2 linked regions of the Arabidopsis thaliana genome follow. The protein of the gene in region 1 binds, or shares a complex with, the protein of each later gene. Each region holds a gene or a part of one and is shown on either strand. Other genes may lie near its edges. The genes, in order: MTACP-1 and CIB22. A codon is read from its position in the direction of its gene.

Region 1 (8,849 bases):
CTCACTTACTAACCAGACACATGAAAAACCTAATAAAGAAAGCTAGAGAAAAAGTGGGCATATAGATCTAATAACATAGGTCTCAATTTCGACGAAAGATAGACGACTTTTATGAAGATCCAAGTACCGTCTAAGAGAGTTTCAAAGGTTTAAAAAGAGTAAAGACTAAGAGTTTAATACAAATATACGGAAGTAGGACCAATTTAAGATTTAAATTCCATGGGTCCATAGTCGTGAAAGAGTATTATAAATATAACGAAAATTAGACTAGTATGACTCTGAGGACTTATTTGTAATTTGTCATCTTACAGAGAGCATTAACGGTCATAAAAGGGAAGTTGGCATTTAATGAATGGGGGCTTTTGTTGGAGAGGGGAGAATTGAAATAGTGTTTCTTTCGTGGCTCTACCATCTCCTCTCACCTACATCTTCATTGATTTCAACTTACTCATTCTTTTTTTTTTTTTTTTGAAGGGGTCTATCTTTAATTATGGTCATTATTGCGAATTATGCGTTTGATGAGTTAGTGGGAAAATTCAAATAAAGCACAAGTGTTATGTAATTTTTAGCTATTAGTTGGTACTATGTATGAGGATTTGATTGATGACAATATAATTATGAAATATAGTGTCATTAAAATTTTCAAATAGCTTGGTTGGACTATTCAAAAATATGACAATACTTTTCAGCTGCAATGAAAGAAAAACAATCGTACAAGTTTCTGTTTTTTTTTTTCTTTTTCAAAAGGATATGTCATAAATTCATAATAAGTAATTACAAAAAAACTCATTCCACTAACTTAGTTCCATAAAATCGTTACGAGTGATTATTGCTGATTAAGTGAGTATACACATTATTTGGGATAGAATTGCTGAGTATACTCCAACTGCATTAACCCACCAGAGCTTTTTACGATGAGAGAAGCTTAATTTTAGGGACATGGTGGAACTGGAGAAAAATACCTGGGAACAGTGTGAGACTTTGAATTTAATTAGCTCATTTAAGTGATCTGAACTAACGACATGTGTACGAAATTAATTATCTGTTTCTTTATGGGTCAAAGATTAAAAATGCTGTGCTTCTTTCTCTATCAGACTATCACATGGAAAGACGAAACGAAATGAGAGTTTTTATTACCTAGCAGCTCACAGTTATACATAATTAAATTCATAGACCGACAAATCACAGTTTTGAGAAATAAGTAAACAAAAGTACTGAAGCAGCGAGCATTTGAAACTCCAAAGACCACAAAAGATCACAGTTAGGGACAAACCATAGCTAAAACAGAGTCTTCTTTAAAAACAATCCGATGAAGAAAAAAAGTTGAAAAACAGGCAAAAATTTTACAGATGGAAGACGATAACTGATCGAATCATGCAAAGGGGCTTGAGGACATTTTTTAGTAGTGTGTTTTGTTGTTCTCTATCGATTTGTTGTTGTGTTGTTGTTGCCAAATCTAACAAGAGCATCCTCCTGATTGCTGCTGAGCGAGAGATGCATTTGCATTGGAAGACTTGAGATTGACATCAACCATATCCTCTTGCTTTGTTGAAGACAATGTCTCCATTCCCGGCAAAGCTGCTGCTATCTTGCGGAAGAGCGCCTAGCAATACAAAAAGGTTTGAAATCATAAGAAAACAAGATTTGCACGGAGTGATAGCGTTATGGATTTGCGGTAATTGTTTAGAGAGTATCAGTGAAAGATCCATACAAATGAGGAGGATGTAATAATCAGCAGGTTGGGTTAAAAATTTATAAGTCTAGGTTAATTAACTATTGAATATTGATGGAACTAAACAAAGTTAGGGCTTAGTTGAACTAAGCAGCAAGTTTTTGTTGTGCAAGAAACCCTCAGAAATGTGTCAAGCCAAGATCTTTGTTACCTTAATGTTGAAGCCCGCTTTGGCACTGGTTTCGATGAACATTACATTAAGTTCGCGTGCCTTAGCTTCTGCTTCCTCTATTGACACTTGCCTGAGAAACAAAATATTTAATACAAAGGCCCAATTGGCAGTAACAAATGTAGTAGGCACCATCAAGTGTCAAAGCGTGTTGACTATAAAGAAACCCTGTAAAGATATGCAGTTGAGCAGCAAATGATTTTCCATTTATTATCTTGTAGGGTCGTTTGGCAACATACTCAATACCACCAGAAAAGTAAGACGTGGTTTAACAACAGTTTGTACTTGAGTAAAACAAAAAAGACACCCATTCGTCTTGTCAACATACTTACGAAATCAGAGCGTGTTTAAACAAGGAGGACTACCAAATTTCAGTCTCAATTGCTATTGAACAGTAATTTGCACATCATGGTTTAACAAGAAACAAGTAGAGGAAGAGATGGTAGATCATTATTACCTTTTGTCCACTAGATCAGTTTTGTTTCCCACAAGCACGACTATGACATCACTACCACGTTCTGTCCTAACCTCATCGATCCACTTAGTAGTGTTTAGGAAGGACTGCCTGCCTATATGTCAGTGGAAAACAAAATAAATCTCGAGTTTCACAACGCACAATGGATCAACATAAAGAAGAAATCGAAACGCATAAATTCATAAGATTACTGAAAACCACATCCCCAAGATCTCAGATATGGGAAAATATTCATGTGTTTGAGAGAACGAGTGAAGGTACACATACTTGCAACATCATACACAATAACAGCAACGGAGGAATCCCTGATATAGCTCGGAATTAGACTCCTGAATCGCTCTTGCCCAGCTGTATCCCTGTCATATGATTTCGGCTCTCGATGTTAATCATCAAAAAATGATCTGCAATGTTATTCTTCAGTATTCGAAAATTGAAAGAGGCTCAAGATCTTACCACAACTGAAGTCTGACCGTTCGATCTTCAAGGTACATTGTCTTTGATAGAAAATCAATACCAATTGTGGCCTGATGATTATGAAACAACATAAAAACTACTTAGAAAAGGAAGAACATTCTGTAAAATGACGATAAGCAAGCATGGTTCACATATTATTAGGAGCTTAAACGTAATTCTCATAATCACAGAACAAGATCAGATGCTTTCATTCATCAATTGAGAACTAATTCGATTAGATAAACAATGATAACATGATCAAAGAAACATCCTCATATTAGTGTTACTGCGATCTTCTATTGGACTGAATTCTCGACTTTGTACAATAAACGAGAGTGAGCGATTACGATGCCAAAATCTCATTCAGCTGATTGTTACGTCCTATACATTGACTAAAACACGATCTACAAATCAGATCACACATAATTACGCAAAACCAAACGCCCGATCACGTAAACGAGTAAGAACTTCGAACTGAAAAACACGATTCCCGTCCATGAAAACGGATCTCAAAATCAATCAAACCCTGGGATTTTCCCGACTATAATCCCTCAAAATAGAAGCAAACGTCGTGCATCGTCGAGATAATACCTAGATTTGAACAATGGAAATTTACCTGGTAAGTGTTGTCGAATTTGTCGTACATGAATCGAGTAATGATACTGGTTTTGCCGACGGATTGATCTCCCAGAAACACCAGCTTATACTTAGCGAGTGCCGAGACCGGAGCCATGATTTCTCAAGGATCTAACTCGCCGGACGGATCTGAGAAACGTCGAGATCTCGCTTTGCTGAGAATAAAAGTTTCCGATATTTACCGGAGAGAGATCCCGTCGCTCTGGAATTGCAAATACTGTATTAGTGAGAGTTTGTTATTCGTAAATTGCAGTTTATTCCTCGAGTGACCCAATTGGGTCATTTATGTTAAATTAGAAACTATTTGAGATAAGTTACAAAATATATAAAAACTTAGAAGCTGATTAAGGAATTTACTACATTATGGGCAGCATTTATAAGCCCACGTAAGGATTTGGGCTAGCCTTATAGTAGGGGGCACGTGTCATCTCGTATGACCTGAACTATTTTTGCCCCTTTTGGCTACTTGACTCTTCTGTGTCTCTCTCATCAAATCAAATCCCTAATTCTCGAGCTCGAAGAAAGAGACGAAAATGGCACTGAGAAATGCAATTCTTCGTCACCTGAGGGTTCCGGTGCAAACCCTAGGATTGAATCAGTCTAAAATTGGGTTCCTTGGTACGATCCGGTCATTTTCTTCGCACGATGATCATCTTAGCAGAGAAGCTGTCGTCGATAGAGTACTCGATGTTGTCAAGAGCTTCCCCAAAGTCGATCCCTCTAAGGTCAGCTCGATCTTCATAAAATTTGGCCAAATCGTGATTCTTATCTTTTGTTTTCCTCATTATTGGGAACAAAATGATTATTTTGCCTTGAATATTTGTCAATGTAGGAGCTTTTGGTTGATTTCGTATTGATCTAGTGGAAATAGAGACCAAATGTATCTGAAACGATGTTGCATTAGTGTTGTTAGTAAATTGAAGGTTATTGATCTCAATGTGGTTTAGTAAGTGTAGCTTATCGTGTTGTTGTTCCTATGGATTTGATTTGATATGGTCATTCTTATGGATTTTGCATTTATGAATCCTTCATCAACTCTCTCTAATAAGGGTTGTTTGGTTAGGGTTATTTTTGTTGATGGCTTTGTGATAAATATCGACAGGTGACTCCTGAGGTTCATTTCCAAAACGATTTGGGATTAGATAGTTTGGACACAGTGGAGATAGTGATGGCTATTGAAGAGGAATTCAAGCTGGAAATTCCAGACAAAGAAGCTGACAAGATCGATTCTTGCTCTCTCGCCATTGAATACGTTTACAATCATCCAATGTCTAGCTAATCGCTGTGTGCTCTCTCATGGTTTCTCCTTCCTTTTTCTTGTATGAGGTTCTTCTCTCTTTGATAATGCCATAATGGGATTTGCAAAAAAATCACTTTTATTTGGAGAGCATTGTTATTGACTCTTTTAACGGTTCCAGTTTCTTAAAAAGAAAACCTTTTTGCTTGAATCTTGTGAAAGTTGACACTTTTTCTTGAGTTAATACTTTAATACGATTTGTATATAATACACTTGATTCTTAGCATGGTCTTGATCATACATTGAAGACGAATCTTTGAAAAACATACTTGTTTTAAAAAACTGATCGTCTCTCTTGGATACATATGCAAGACCAAGAAATTGGATCTTATATACTACATTACATCATAACGTGCTATTAACTAGAATTGTTTGTCAGCCATCTTTTGGATCGAATACAGACAGTAGTTTTCATTTGGACAAGTTTTCTGCTTCATCTCAACTACAGCATTTGTACCAAAATACACCAATATCTCTATCCACAAGTTAGATGTTTTAATTAGGAGATACATTTCAGGTTTCGTTTGAATCGATTTTTTAGTAAATGGGACAAAATGGGTGAACTTACAATATTAAAAACTTGCTAAGCTAATTATGCAAAATGGATAGGGTGGAAGGAACAAAGCAAGATGCTGAAACCGCAACAGCAATGAATCTTGTAAACACATTGTAGTGATATTGATCATAATGACTAAAGAAAGACTAAATAAACATCTAACGTCAACAATATATCTCTTGATTAAGTTTAACCCGAAAGAGACAGACAATGGCGCAAACTATAGTTGTTAGGAACGATTCTGAGAAGTTGAGACGGTTCTTCAGTTCCATGAATTCCTACTTCACTCCTAAGCAAGCCAATCATTCTACACCAAATCTCTTTGCTTTCACTAACATTACTTGGTTTTCCCCATATAAACGCCAACTTTCCGTAGTATTCCCCGATCCCAATGCATCGAGCTTTGTCAAGATCTAAACCATAAACCACTCTCCACAACATCAGCTCAGAGTCATACCACATTAACCCAAATCTAAGGAAGTAAACGAAGAGCACATTGTCAATCACGCATTTTCCTGTCTTCCACCAATTATCTTCAGGTATCGTATATCTTTGATAAGAACCATCTCTAGTATCGTAAGAATTCATGTATTCCCTCGAATTTAAAGCATAAACCTTCCTATCAAGTGAAACACTTGCATGCGTGAACCATTCGTTTCTATCCTTTGCCTTAGGAATCGGCGCTGCTTCCCAAGTTTGTGTCTTTAAGTCAAATACTTCCGCTAGGATCTCTTCGCCTCTGTTGCCTCCGATCACATAGATCTTACCACCGACTAGTCCTACGGTAGCTGATAATCGCTCCACTTGCATACTAGGTCCTTGACGCCACTGTCCAGATTGGGTGTCAAAGATCCATACGATTGATGATGAGGGAAAATTATATCCGGGAATGCAGTAAATCTCTGTATCAATTGCGATATTGGAAAGAGGGTAAGAAGCATGCCCGGGACGATAAGGAACATCGATGGAGACGAAGACATTCTCAGTCGTATTCATCTTGTTATCATTCCTCCGGAGAGTGAACCAGTGAAAAGTCGTCCGGTTCCGGTTCGGGTATGTAGTTCTGGTCGAGAAGCATAGATAAAGAGAGTCCTTTCCGTGTAAAGATCGCGTCTTGTGAATCTCCGGCGAGCGAATTAGACTCCGCAAGGACTTGGAGACGCAACAGAGGATTGGGTAATATCGTTTTGGTACCAAGGCTAAGATGTTCAATACGATGTCCACCGGGAGTGAGAACAATGACGGCGGCGTCAATGAAGACGACGGTGGTTGGTTGGTTTTCTGCGGTGGTTCGTCGGCGTTAGACATCGAGAGCTATTAGGAGGAGGAGACTAGAGAACAACTGAGTGAATCAATCAAATTGAGGGCTTTAGCCAAAAACCAAAAGCCGGTTAAATTCTTCTCTGATTCTGCTTTAATCGGTTAAAACCGGTTTATATTTCTTGTCTTGATCAGGGAAACACACAGAGTTTTAGAATAAGGCCCAGGAATAAGCCCGGTGAGTGAATCTTTCTAAGGAATCGATTTTAAAACAAGGCCCATTAAAGGGTGAAGAAAAGGCCCATGAAAATGCTTAAACCCCCTTTGTCTCCCAGCTTCGTACACAGGAGAGACTGAGATAAGGAAAGAAGAAGAGGAAGAAGAAAATGGCGAATCTTAACTCAGCTATTGATTCAGTGTTTTGGGATCAGAACGTTTCTTCACCTCAAACCCTTGAAGGCACTGCTCGCTCTGTTCCCGGTGAGCCATTTCCCTTAGACGGAGCACGAGCAAGCCGCTCTCACCGGATTCAACAGCTCTCTCTGCTTCGCGAAGGCTTTCCTCTTGGAATCATTCCTTCTTTGGCTCCTGCTTCTGACAAGAGACTCGGCTCTTTCTCTCTCAATTCTCTCTTGCTCAGTCCTTCCTCTAACAACTGGTAAATGCTCTTAACCTCTTCAATAATTTACAAAATTGTGAGCGAGTAATGCTTTAAAGGTTGAGACTTTGAATCAAACTGGTGAAATAGTGTTGACATTGTTGGATTTGATGAGACATGTGATTAGTTTTGTTTGGAATTTTCACTCAGGTGGTTAGGTTTAGTTGGGCAGTTCAAACCAAAGAAGCTCTTTGCTGATATCAAAGCAGATATTAGCAATGCAGAAGAGTGGGATTTGCAAGTTGTAAAGGATACAGCAAAACACATTGTTGACAAATCCCTTTACTCTATTGGTTTATGGACTCAGATTGCGTTGGGTACTTCTTCTTCTCTCTTGCTTAGCACTGAACGTCTTGGAGATAAAAACGGACTCCGAAACAAGTTGATGCTTGTTCATCCGGTATGTCTCTGTACTGTAACTATGATGGATTCTTCTTTTGTGTTTTAAAGCACTTCTAATTTGTTTTTTTGTTTGAACTAATGAGCAGCTTGAGAAACATGATCTCACTGTGGAAGCAGCTTGGCCAGATTTGTTTTTGGACAATAAAGGACGTTTCTGGGATGTTCCTGAATCTTTGAATGTTGATGTCTCATCCCTTGTTCCAGAGTCAGGGGTTAGATACCGGTTTGGTCTTCATAAAAGCAGGGGTAATCCTCAGCCTGTGAATGCTGCTGGTGTTGAGAGTGGTAGTGATGCTCCTACTTCTTTGATGCCTGGTTTATGCGCCAAGGCTGCAGTTTCGTACAAGGTTAACAGAGACTTGTGGAGGCCACAAGAGAAAGAAGGCAACACAGAAGAAGAGGATAAACCTGTGTTTCTGCCTTATGATTTACGTCTCAAGGAGCCTCATGCAGCAATTTCAGGAATAGTAGGTACTCTCTTTAAAAAACCAATCCCCTAAAGAAGTCTCGTTCCTTTTCTTTTCTTGACCTTGAATTGAATGCTGAGTTCTCTCAATGTTTCACTCTCTAGGAAGCAGCTTGGCAGCTTGGATCACAGGCCGAGGCATGTTGGTTAATGGCAAGAAGCGGAGTCCGATAAGCGCAGATGTATTTGGTTCTGCTTGTTATACGTTCCAAAAAGGACGGTTTAGTAAGTTGTATGGCGATCTTACCCGAGTAGATGCTCGCGTGGACCTACCCTCAGCTTTTGCCCTTGCTAAAAAACTCTTCCATGCAAGTAGTAACAACTCAGACGACACATTGTGGTCTCCCAGACTCAACCTGATATTCCAGCAACAGGTATTAAGCTTTTGTCCAAAGATCAAAAGATGTAAAAGAGTCTATGATGTTTAAGCAATTCCCACTAATCACACTGTTATGCAGGTTGCGGGTCCGATTGTTTTCAAAGTAGACTCGCAGTTTCAGGTAGGAGCTGCACGCATGGAAGATGTGATATACAGTCTGAATTACTCGTTGAGGCTTCTTGAGTCTGGCAAAATCGTGGCTTGGTATTCTCCAAAGAGAAAAGAAGGCATGATCGAGCTCCGAGTTTTTGAGTTTTGATTTTAGTCTCCGTTTATGTTTTAAAAATCGCAACTTTTTTTTTTTGACATGACTATAAAAAACTCTTATGTTTCGTAAAACCTAGTTCATCTTCATTGCTTGTGGCG
Region 2 (9,977 bases), on another chromosome or scaffold:
ATACCACCAAACTAAGTGATCGTAACTACTCTTTCGAAAAAACCAAACCCTAATCTTGTTTTAAGACTAAGACCAATTATACTAAAAAGGAAAGATTTCATAATTGGAAGGAAAGTAGTATACTTTGATAGTTATTAAAAATAAAAATAAAATGTTCAAAAGATTTGGCTATAGTGGTTGCTTTGGTGAACTCCACTCCAACGGTGGTTTGCACCATCTCCATTCCCATCACTACCAAAAACCCACACTTCTTTTTTTTTTTCTTTCTTTGCGTAATGTGGGTTAAAAGGAACTTTATTTATGCTCTTGTTTTTGGGTGTTTGAATCGAATTTGAAATCAACATTTGTTTTTATTTTATTTTATTTATAAAAAATTTGTGTGTTTGGAAAGTTGTAAAAGGTTCAAGGGGTTTCGGTAGAGATAATCTTAATTTGGTTTTTAACACATCGACTTAATCCAAATTGACATCTCTAATAGGATTCAGATATTATTATATCTATCCTGTAATTTTCCATAAAATGTAATCAATATGAGATTTGGTATTAGGGTATGAACTTAATGTATCTTATCGGAAAAATGTTTTCTCCTTTGGGTTACCTAATCTCATATCTAATGCCAAAAATAGCATAACATAGAAGATTGGCTAGATCATATGTGGACATCACCGACTGCATGGCAATGTTTGTTTTATAATCGCGTAATACTTGTTTGTCATTTGCCAGTTCTCATAACAAATGCGAAAATAATCTTATATATCCTTGGTAATGCATGTAAAAATTAATTTTGCTTCATGAATTATTTTATATTCTTAAATTCATGACTGAATGAAATTTCTTATCTATATTCAGACGCAGTATATGGGACATCTAACTCAATTTTAAGATTCTAGATTGGATGATTTTATGTTGTTTGACAAAAAAAATAAAAAAATTGGATGCTTTCTATAAATTTCATGCTTTGTATTTTATTAAATTTTGAGCTATTATTGTATTAGTATAGAATTGAGCTATTATTGGATTGTTCTTATCACTTTGTTAATTTCATTTGGTCCTTTAGTTAGATATCAAAATTTTTAAAATTTTCAAAAAAGATCACAGGTTTAATCGGTGACTTTCAATAATACTAGTTTTAACACGACAAGCAAAATATTGTGCATGTATACTATTAAATTGTTAATGTTAGTACTATGAAATAACAAATTCATCACCATTGTAAAACTTAATGTTTCAACATTTCCTAAGAAGAAATGGTCAACCCTTTTGACAAGACAAGCTAAATTGGCATGGACAAGGAACACAGCATCATGATATAACCCTTCACAATAATTATAATAAAAACAATCAAATTTGTATTGAATAATGCGAAACAGACCTGACTTATCAATATGTGACGAAGGATAAGCCCACGCCAAAAACATCCACGTAAAGAACTCATTGATTAGGTCCAAAGAAATTTGGAGAAAATAAAACAAATCCTGACGTGAAAATAAAAAGAAATCATCACTTTTTTTTATCTCTTTTATTTTCTTCTAAATACAAAAATTGAATAATCAATTAATTTTTCATGTATGCAAACAATTTCTTAACAAGTCTTGTGAGCTTTAAATGAAATATAGAGGCGAGTGGATTAGACTTGATCCTGATCTTTTATTAAGCTGATCCATATTTTACATTGAAATAAAGGACACACCGTTTAACACGAAAATGAAGAGACAAATAAAGAAGAGGAAAAGCATTGATTCTGAAATACCAATATAGTATCATTCGTGAAAGAAGATTTTGTAATATTCCACAAACTTAGAAATTAGGGGAAAAGAAAACAAAAAAAAAAGATAGGAAAAAAGAGCTTTAACTTTTGGAATTGGAAGAAGCACAAACACACACAAAAAAAAAGTCTCTGTTTTACCTTTTAACCCCTTCAAGAATCCTCCTTTAAGTTCAGTGCCCTCTTACTTTTCTCTTATCGGAATATCTCTCTTCCTCTGTTTCTTCGCCATTCTCTCAGCTTTTCTCCTTCTTCTTCGTCTTTGTCAGGTAAAGAGATACGATGAGCATATCCCACATACCTCTCTCCTCTTCTCATCTTTTTAGTTTCTCGAAAGTTTGCATGCGCCGACTTTGTTATAGGTTATAAACTTTAGTTTTAAGCCTATTTTCGTATGTTTATGGTTGTTGTAATAGTTGAGAATTCAGAGTATGTCAAGTGAAACTTAAAAAGAATTCTATATGTATGTGTGTATGTGTTAAAGAGTGAATGGAGCTGTGGACAGAAGCTAGAGCCTTAAAGGCAAGTCTAAGAGGAGAATCTACTATATCTCTCAAACATCACCAAGTGATTGTGTCGGAAGATTTAAGCCGAACTTCTTCCTTGCCGGAAGATTTCTCCGTTGAGTGTTTCCTCGATTTCTCAGAAGGTCAAAAAGAAGAAGAAGAAGAAGTTGTCTCTGTTTCTTCTTCACAAGAGCAAGAAGAACAAGAACATGATTGTGTCTTTAGTTCACAACCTTGCATCTTTGATCAACTTCCTTCTTTGCCGGTAAATTTCTAAACTTCTTTATACCTTTTCTTTCTCTTCTTATAATCGAAAGATTTTAAGTTATATTTTTCTTGATTTCTTTTTTTTTGGGATATTTTTAGGATGAAGATGTGGAAGAGCTTGAATGGGTATCTCGTGTTGTGGATGATTGTTCATCACCAGAAGTTTCACTTCTCTTAACACAAACACATAAAACCAAACCAAGCTTCTCAAGAATTCCGGTTAAACCAAGAACCAAACGGTCTCGGAACAGTTTAACCGGTAGTCGTGTTTGGCCACTCGTTTCAACCAATCATCAACATGCAGCAACAGAGCAGTTGAGGAAGAAGAAACAAGAAACTGTCCTTGTGTTTCAACGAAGATGCAGCCATTGTGGCACAAACAACACACCACAGTGGAGAACCGGTCCGGTCGGTCCAAAAACCTTATGTAATGCATGTGGAGTCCGGTTTAAGTCTGGTAGGCTCTGCCCGGAATACAGACCGGCGGATAGTCCGACGTTCTCGAATGAGATTCACTCAAATCTTCATAGGAAGGTTCTGGAATTAAGAAAGAGTAAAGAGTTGGGTGAAGAAACAGGTGAAGCTAGTACTAAATCAGACCCAGTCAAATTTGGCAGCAAGTGGTAGATAAGACTTAGGTAAAACCTACTTTTTGTAACATTATCTGTAGTGTTGTAATTTAACAACTTGCTTCTTAACATTTTGAAACTGTTTCAGGAACTAGTCTTAAGTAAACAATGGTTTTCTATAAACAAAATTAATGTGTGTTTTTAATGATGTAAGACCACCACCACCACTACTAGTACTTGGAATGATTTTGGTCCATGTGTAGTGGCTTAAATAGACTTTTTGAGTAAACAAAATGCCAAATGGAAGAATCATCTTGAAAACTCCAACATTACTATATAGTATATATATTATTGATAAATCTTGAGATTCGACATATTTATTTGATAATCGATGCAAGCATAATTAATTTAGACATTTATTCAGCAAAAAAAAAAATTAGGTATGTAATTAATTTATACATATCGAATTACTAAAGGTTAATTTTCAGGCTAATCGTAGATAAACGATTTCGTTAAATCCCCATGAAAGTAAATTTAGGCAAATGTATGATGCTATGTCTGCCGCATAATTGTTTAATCTCACCATTTGCATATCAATCTTTAAGGGAAACATCCTTTTAATGTGTTTATGTGGCCTTGTCTCCGTTTTATTGCTACTTTGTGTCATACTCAAAATAAGTTGACTATAAAGCTACATGTATCTACACAAAAAGAGAGTTTATTTAGTATGCTTGCTTGGGAATAAGCAGGAGACAAAAGAAAACATCCAAGTTAAAACATGAAGCAGCAAAAGAGAGTGTTCATCCACAAAATGTGAGAGGTTTCTTAGCATATAAAGATATTGATATAAATCTAATCATTCTCGTAAGAACAAGAACAAAATGAAAGAGCCAAAAACTAAACCCATCTTTCACTTTTTAGATACGAGAAGTGCCACGATCTTTTGAAGATCTTCCTGATTTTGCTTTGCAACCTTTGTAATCTCATCAAGCCGGTGCATGTAGAGAGCATTTTTGGCACTCATCTCTTTCTTAAACTCATGGATAACCACACTCTTCTTGTTTATCTCCAACCACAAGTCGGCTAGGCTTCTATCCGTTTTAGAGGTGTTCCATAACCCCCAAACGAAGGAGATGCAAGTAAGAGAGCCAAAGAAACACCAAGTGAGAAACGAGGTATAGGTTTGTGAGAAATCTCTGGAGGCCTTACCTAGGCAAGTGTACTCCACAAAAGTTTGATGCTCCTTCCCTTTAGCTTTAGCCAGTAGTTGAAGCTTCTTAGCTTGAGATATGTTGATAAATTTGAGAAACTTCCATTTGCGTTTGACGCTCCTCTCGCATGATCTCTTGACCCCGATGTAATGAAGCCTAGTTGCTAAAAGTTTAAAAACCTTGAACCATGTCGATTGTGGATCGTCATTAGGTGTGTAATCATCATCGTCATTATTGCTGGATCCATCATCACTCTTTTTCCCATCGCCGGATCCATCATTGCTCTTTTTCTCACCGGATCCATCATCATCACTCTTTTTTTCACCAGATCCATCATTAGAACTCCTTACAATTTTATAATACTAAATTTTGAATAAATTAAAGTTTAAATTTTTTGTTGAATCCTTATATTTTTTATTGTTCAATGGTGGAATTCTTAAGTGGATTTCTTTAAAAAAATAAATATATAATATTATAATATATTTCACCAAACATAATAATTATTAGAAATATTAAAATTCTAAACATACATAATATAAAAACAATAAAAAACTATAAAAATGAAAAACTTGAACCACGATAAGTGTTAAACTTGATTCGTGCAAAATTTGTGTCATATATATTCAACCAAATCAGCTCTTTATTGTTCACGCTTAGTCTAATCACGAAATCAAGTTGAGTAATCCTTAAAAGAAAAAAAAAAAGTTTGATAATTTTGAAGTTTAGATTTTTTGTTGAGTACTTATAATTTTTATTATCGAATGGTGGAGTAAGTGAATTTTTTTTGGGAAAAGTGAGTGTATAATGAAAAGACAGATACGTAGTGTTAAATAATTTATTTCTTTGACTGTATCAACAGTCCGTTGTAGTCTAGCTGGTCAGGATACTCGGCTCTCACCCGAGAGACCCGGGTTCGAGTCCCGGCAACGGAGTTTGTTTTTACCTCCTTCTTTTTTTAATGGGCCGATTTTTGTCTTAATTCAAGCTCTAATCAAAGGCCCATTTGAAATTTTCTTCTCGGTCCCTCCAACGGAAACAGAAGGTTTTCCACTGTAAAAGATGAAAAGAGTGTAGAGAGACTCGAAATCAATCGGAATCAGGAAGACAAAAATGAGCGGAGTTTCGACGGCGGCGTACTTTGCGCGGCGAGCGGCTCAGAAGGAGAGAGTTCGAATCCTTTACCGTCGTGCCCTTAAGGATACTCTCAATTGGGCTGTTCATCGCCATATCTTCTACCGTGACGTAAGTCTTTTCCTCAGATCTCCGAATCGGACATGGACTTTTTGATTTTTTACCGATCTCTCATTTTGGTTTTTGATTCCATTTGATCTTCGTTACCTTTCAGGCTTCTGATCTGCGTGAGAAGTTCAATGTCAACCAAGATGTGGTTTGTTCTCTTCTCCTTTCATTTTGCATACCTCTCTCTTTGCCTTGTTTCATTGTTGATTGTTAAAATGTTTGATAATCCGTAGAAATGGAAATTGATATTGTTTTGTTTCATTTAATTTGGTAGAGAGACTTTAGAGATATGATGAGCATAATCATCTAAGTGTGTGTGGATGAGAAAATTGGGGACTTTTGTTGTGGAAACACCTCTACTGGATTTTCTCTTGCTAAGTTGTTTAGGTTCTTCGCTATTATAAAAAAAAAGTGAATAGGTAGGAGATATGGGAAATAGAATTGCTGTTCAATGATTTGTGTGTTGAGTTTGCATATTCCACTCATTATCATTCCAATATTGAATTCAAGTAAAGGATGTACCTTTTTAAACTGGAGTTGAAAATCATATTATGAAATTCTTTTTTCAACTACTGCCACAATGTACATTGAGTCTCTCATCTTTGGTTGTCTCTTGATATGGTCCTTTTGTAGGAGAATTCAAAGTTAGTAGGATTTAAGCTTTTAGAGCATTGTTAAGCTAGATCCAAAACATAGAAAATAAGAGTGAAATGAAATAGCTAATGAAAGCTTTTTATAGTGCAAAGGAAATAAAATTATTAGTCTTTAGATTGTTAACAGGAACAAATTCATTTTAGATTTGATATTTCATAAGGGAAAGAAGGAGAGATGCAATCCTCATCTTGCTAAGAAACCTGATTACATGGGCTTATGAACTTGTATTTGGTCATTCTTGGGCTTTATCAATGCTCTAATACCTTTGATTGGGGTATTTGTAGGAGGATGTCGACAGAATCGACAAACTGATTGCTCATGGTGAAGCAGAATACAACAAATGGCGGCACCCTGATCCTTATATCGGTAAGCGTCTCGACCCATATATGAATCGTGGTAGATTTGATAGCAAGAACTCTTTGTCAGGCTTATGGAATTCCTCGTAGATTAGATAACATGAGTAGTCCACTTCCCGAATTGGACACTAAATGACACACATTTTCTGTTGTAGTTCCATGGGCTCCTGGTGGCTCAAAGTTCTGTAGAAACCCGACTCCGCCTGCTGGGGTAATTTTTTGTTCTCAACACTTATCACTTTTTTCTTCATGATCTACCTTTCTTCTTCGCAACTGCTGATCTTTTATTGTGTGTGTGACTGATGCAGATTGAGATTGTGTACAACTATGGTCTAGAAGACAACCCATAATAAACCTAGCTTCCATATTGTCACACCCATCAATAAAGTAAGTTAGAGAATTATCAAATGCTAAGGCTGTATCCACAATAGTTTCCCTTCATTCTAGTAAATGTCCCTCATTATATCGAAATGTCGCAGTAGAACCACTAAGACGTTATGTTTCAATGGTGTTTGTTATATATTGCAGATTGAAGCATCCGGTGGCTATGGTTTGGAGATAAATTAAACTGACTTTCAAGGTTGAAACTTTGAGGGACCAATTGTTATTTTCAAAGATGTTTCGTTCCAGTAAGACAATTCTTGTTTCAACTTGGTTTATATCTTTCATCTAAAACATTTCCGGCTGCTCTTGAGTCATGGATGTTCGACCATGAAAACTTGTCAGTAAAACAACAAAATTGTGGTCTTTTTTTCTTTTTTCAACCTTGGCTGCAAATCGATACTGGTCTTTGAGGAGGCTATATCTTGAGAAGGTTTTAATCGAACAACATCTCATCTCACTCTCCCTTTACACGTCATTGCGTCTAAAAAGGGTTTTGTTCTTCTGTCTCTGTTGTTTTGATAATCAGCTTTGTCTTCCTTAATAATTGTGGAAACGCAGCGTATAAACACATTCCAAATCTGTTAGAGACACAATTTGAAGTCTTGTACCACATATTGGTAATTTTGGGTAGATAGGAATCGATTATCCAACTTGAGAATCGGGACCGATCCCTGCAAATTGATGTCGTCACGTAACACTTGGCATTTTCGGTGAGGACCATGGTCGGGAAAAGTAAATGCCGATTCCAAACCCAAATTGCGAAATTCAAAGCAAAGATGTTATAGGATTGGATTCTACCAACCTTAGCCCCTTTTTCACTTACATTGTAAAAGAAACGGCTACAATTTTGCAAACGAAAATAGAGAGCTTGAAGCAAAGATTAGTAGAAACAAGATTGAACATAATGTTTTGCAGTTTTTGGTTGAATTGTGAATCACTTAAGCTTTGACGTTTAAAGGTTTTAGATTTCGAGGAAGGTTTAATGATTCTCTCATCATTCTAAGAAAGAATGATAAATATATTTATAAGTTATGAATACAATATATGTTAATAAAAACACACCAAAAAGTGAAACGATCATCTACAAATTGACCGACATGAAGCTTAGTATTACCATATTCGTCAAACTTTTCACCTTTAAATTTGAATCCTTCCTTTTTCTCTACAGTATTATATGCTTTTTTTTCCACGATCGCCAACAACCGGACAAGTATAATGGAAACAACAACACGTTATCTCGAATATGCATAATGTCAAAAAATTACCTCCACGTAAAACGAAACCTGTTGCACACCAAGCCGTGACTTAAAAATAAAGACCACTATTCGATAATGCAAGATACGGCTAAAAACACTCAATCATGAGCCACATTATCAAATAATCATTTAACCGCTTCCCAAAGCCTAACAGATAAAAGATGTCAGTCGATAAAACACATAAATGTCAGAATCTAACATCTCCATGTGATACTTGTGTGTGTTGTCACATTCACTTCTTCACTCATCATAACAACATCGGCCCACGACGCCGGTTATAAGATGCGGCGAACCTGATCCGTTAAAAATACCACTAGACAATTTTTTATATTTTTTATTTAAAATTATTATAGAGTGAAAACTGAAAACAACTTATTCACGATTCATCGTTTATTTATTTCTTTTATGTGGTCAAACTTTTTTATTATTATTATTATAAATAAAACGGGAACGGCTACATTTGAAGGGGGAAATAAATATAAAAAGATCCGAATTTCACAAAAGGCTTTCATAATTCGGATCTTCTTACTTAAAACCTTAAACAACGATGGATCATGGATCTCATCATGTTCTTATTTAATAACTTTTATTTAAAGAAATCGTACAATGACGATTTTACGATAATATAATGCAACAACAAACCACACGACGACCACCTTTTCTCACGCAGAGATGTAATCGTAGACGTCTTCGTCGCAGTAGTAAAACCCAAGGTTACTGATCGCAGCTGAAAGAGAGTTACTTGGCGATGCCTGCTCAGTTGCAAGATACGGCATGTTGTGGAACGAACGGTCGAGAGAAGCCGCCACATTGTTGAACTCATCATCTTCTTCTTCCTCTTCATTTTCACCTTCGCTACCACCTTTGGTATGCATCATTTCCTCTGCTCGGTGCTTTAGGGTCTGAAACATTAGCTCCGGCTCATGCTGCATTGCTCGGAGAACATCCGCTGAGGACTGACCAGGCACCGCTCGGGTCACTGCAAAGCTGTGTGGTCCATCGCTCTGGGAGACCCGGACAACGCTTGGTCCACCAAACAGATTGTGGACTCCACCGAGAGCCTCCTCGTAAGCCCCTCCAAGGAACATACCCAAAAAGTACCTTCCTCCACTGCCATTCTTGTCCAGCTCGTGCAACGGCAAGCTGGATTCACCGCCTATGAACTTGTTGATCTTCCCGTCACTATCACACGTTAAATCTGAAAGGATTCCGCGAGCCCCGGGCCTTTGATCGAGCTTATGGATAGGAACTATAGGGAACAGCTGATCAATCCCCCAGAGATCAGGAATCGAAGTGAAAACTGATAGATTGATATTGTAAGTATGAACCGGATCCGATGCGCCTATAGCCTTCAACACCCACTCGCATAAACCATCAACAGAAGCTAACTGCTCGATGCTCAAAACACCTTCTTTGAAACCTTCAACACACCTCTGCTTCAGCTGATCGACATAAAGAAGGCAGCTTTCGTGGTCTCCACGCATCACAGCAGCATAAAGATCCTCATAATTGGCTCGAGCTTCCTCATTACCTTCAAGCAGGAACTGAATATCGCCGGGAGTTGCTTGATGAACCATTGGTTTATCTGCTGAAACAGCTTCAAAGATCAGCACAGAATGATGAGAGACTATCGCTCTACCGCTTTCGCTGCATATCACCGGATGTTTCACTGAGCTCCGGTCACACACAACCCGAACAGAAGCTACAACAGCTTCAGCATACTCCTCGAGACTATAAGCAACAGAGAGATCCGATTCTCCAGATTTAGAC

What was found.
Region 2: the proteins of MTACP-1 (region 1) and CIB22 are in contact, whole or in part, in a cryo-EM structure (PDB 8BEH), measured with the Arabidopsis thaliana proteins. Residues at the interface, in NP_181990.1 of Arabidopsis thaliana: Asp78 (codon at 4,607), Ser79 (codon at 4,610), Leu80 (codon at 4,613), Asp81 (codon at 4,616), Val83 (codon at 4,622), Glu84 (codon at 4,625), Val86 (codon at 4,631), Met87 (codon at 4,634), Glu90 (codon at 4,643), Glu91 (codon at 4,646), Lys94 (codon at 4,655), Leu95 (codon at 4,658), Glu96 (codon at 4,661), Ile97 (codon at 4,664), Asp99 (codon at 4,670), Lys100 (codon at 4,673), Ala102 (codon at 4,679), Asp103 (codon at 4,682), His118 (codon at 4,727), Met120 (codon at 4,733); in NP_567970.1 of Arabidopsis thaliana: Glu18 (codon at 5,480), Arg21 (codon at 5,489), Ile22 (codon at 5,492), Tyr24 (codon at 5,498), Arg25 (codon at 5,501), Arg26 (codon at 5,504), Leu28 (codon at 5,510), Lys29 (codon at 5,513), Leu32 (codon at 5,522), Arg38 (codon at 5,540), Phe41 (codon at 5,549), Arg49 (codon at 5,676), Phe52 (codon at 5,685), Asn53 (codon at 5,688), Tyr84 (codon at 6,571), Ile85 (codon at 6,574), Val86 (codon at 6,577), Pro87 (codon at 6,725), Trp88 (codon at 6,728), Ala89 (codon at 6,731).

Annotation. Positions count from the first base shown.
Region 1 is NC_003071.7:18,410,322-18,419,170, forward strand, and holds MTACP-1 (mitochondrial acyl carrier protein 1), read left to right. Parts: upstream 1-3,879; 5' UTR 3,880-3,998; coding exon 3,999-4,190; intron 4,191-4,567; coding exon 4,568-4,744; 3' UTR 4,745-5,014; downstream 5,015-8,849. Other genes in the region: RAB6A (Ras-related small GTP-binding family protein), read right to left, coding at 1,457-1,603, 1,884-1,974, 2,359-2,470, 2,644-2,732, 2,830-2,900, 3,446-3,562; AT2G44630 (Galactose oxidase/kelch repeat superfamily protein), read right to left, coding at 5,508-6,626; AT2G44640 (TRIGALACTOSYLDIACYLGLYCEROL-like protein), read left to right, coding at 6,965-7,236, 7,387-7,636, 7,725-8,109, 8,210-8,478, 8,563-8,742. UniProt on the Arabidopsis thaliana protein: Carrier of the growing fatty acid chain in fatty acid biosynthesis. May be involved in the synthesis of short and medium chain fatty acids.
Region 2 is NC_003075.7:16,551,446-16,561,422, forward strand, and holds CIB22 (LYR family of Fe/S cluster biogenesis protein), read left to right. Parts: upstream 1-5,292; 5' UTR 5,293-5,428; coding exon 5,429-5,560; intron 5,561-5,663; coding exon 5,664-5,705; intron 5,706-6,495; coding exon 6,496-6,577; intron 6,578-6,722; coding exon 6,723-6,778; intron 6,779-6,875; coding exon 6,876-6,917; 3' UTR 6,918-6,954; intron 6,955-7,095; 3' UTR 7,096-7,589; downstream 7,590-9,977. Other genes in the region: GATA3 (GATA transcription factor 3), read left to right, coding at 2,255-2,536, 2,638-3,165; AT4G34690 (uncharacterized protein), read right to left, coding at 4,018-4,632, 4,644-4,652; ADC2 (arginine decarboxylase 2), read right to left, coding at 8,870-9,977. UniProt on the Arabidopsis thaliana protein: Accessory subunit of the mitochondrial membrane respiratory chain NADH dehydrogenase (Complex I), that is believed to be not involved in catalysis. Complex I functions in the transfer of electrons from NADH to the respiratory chain.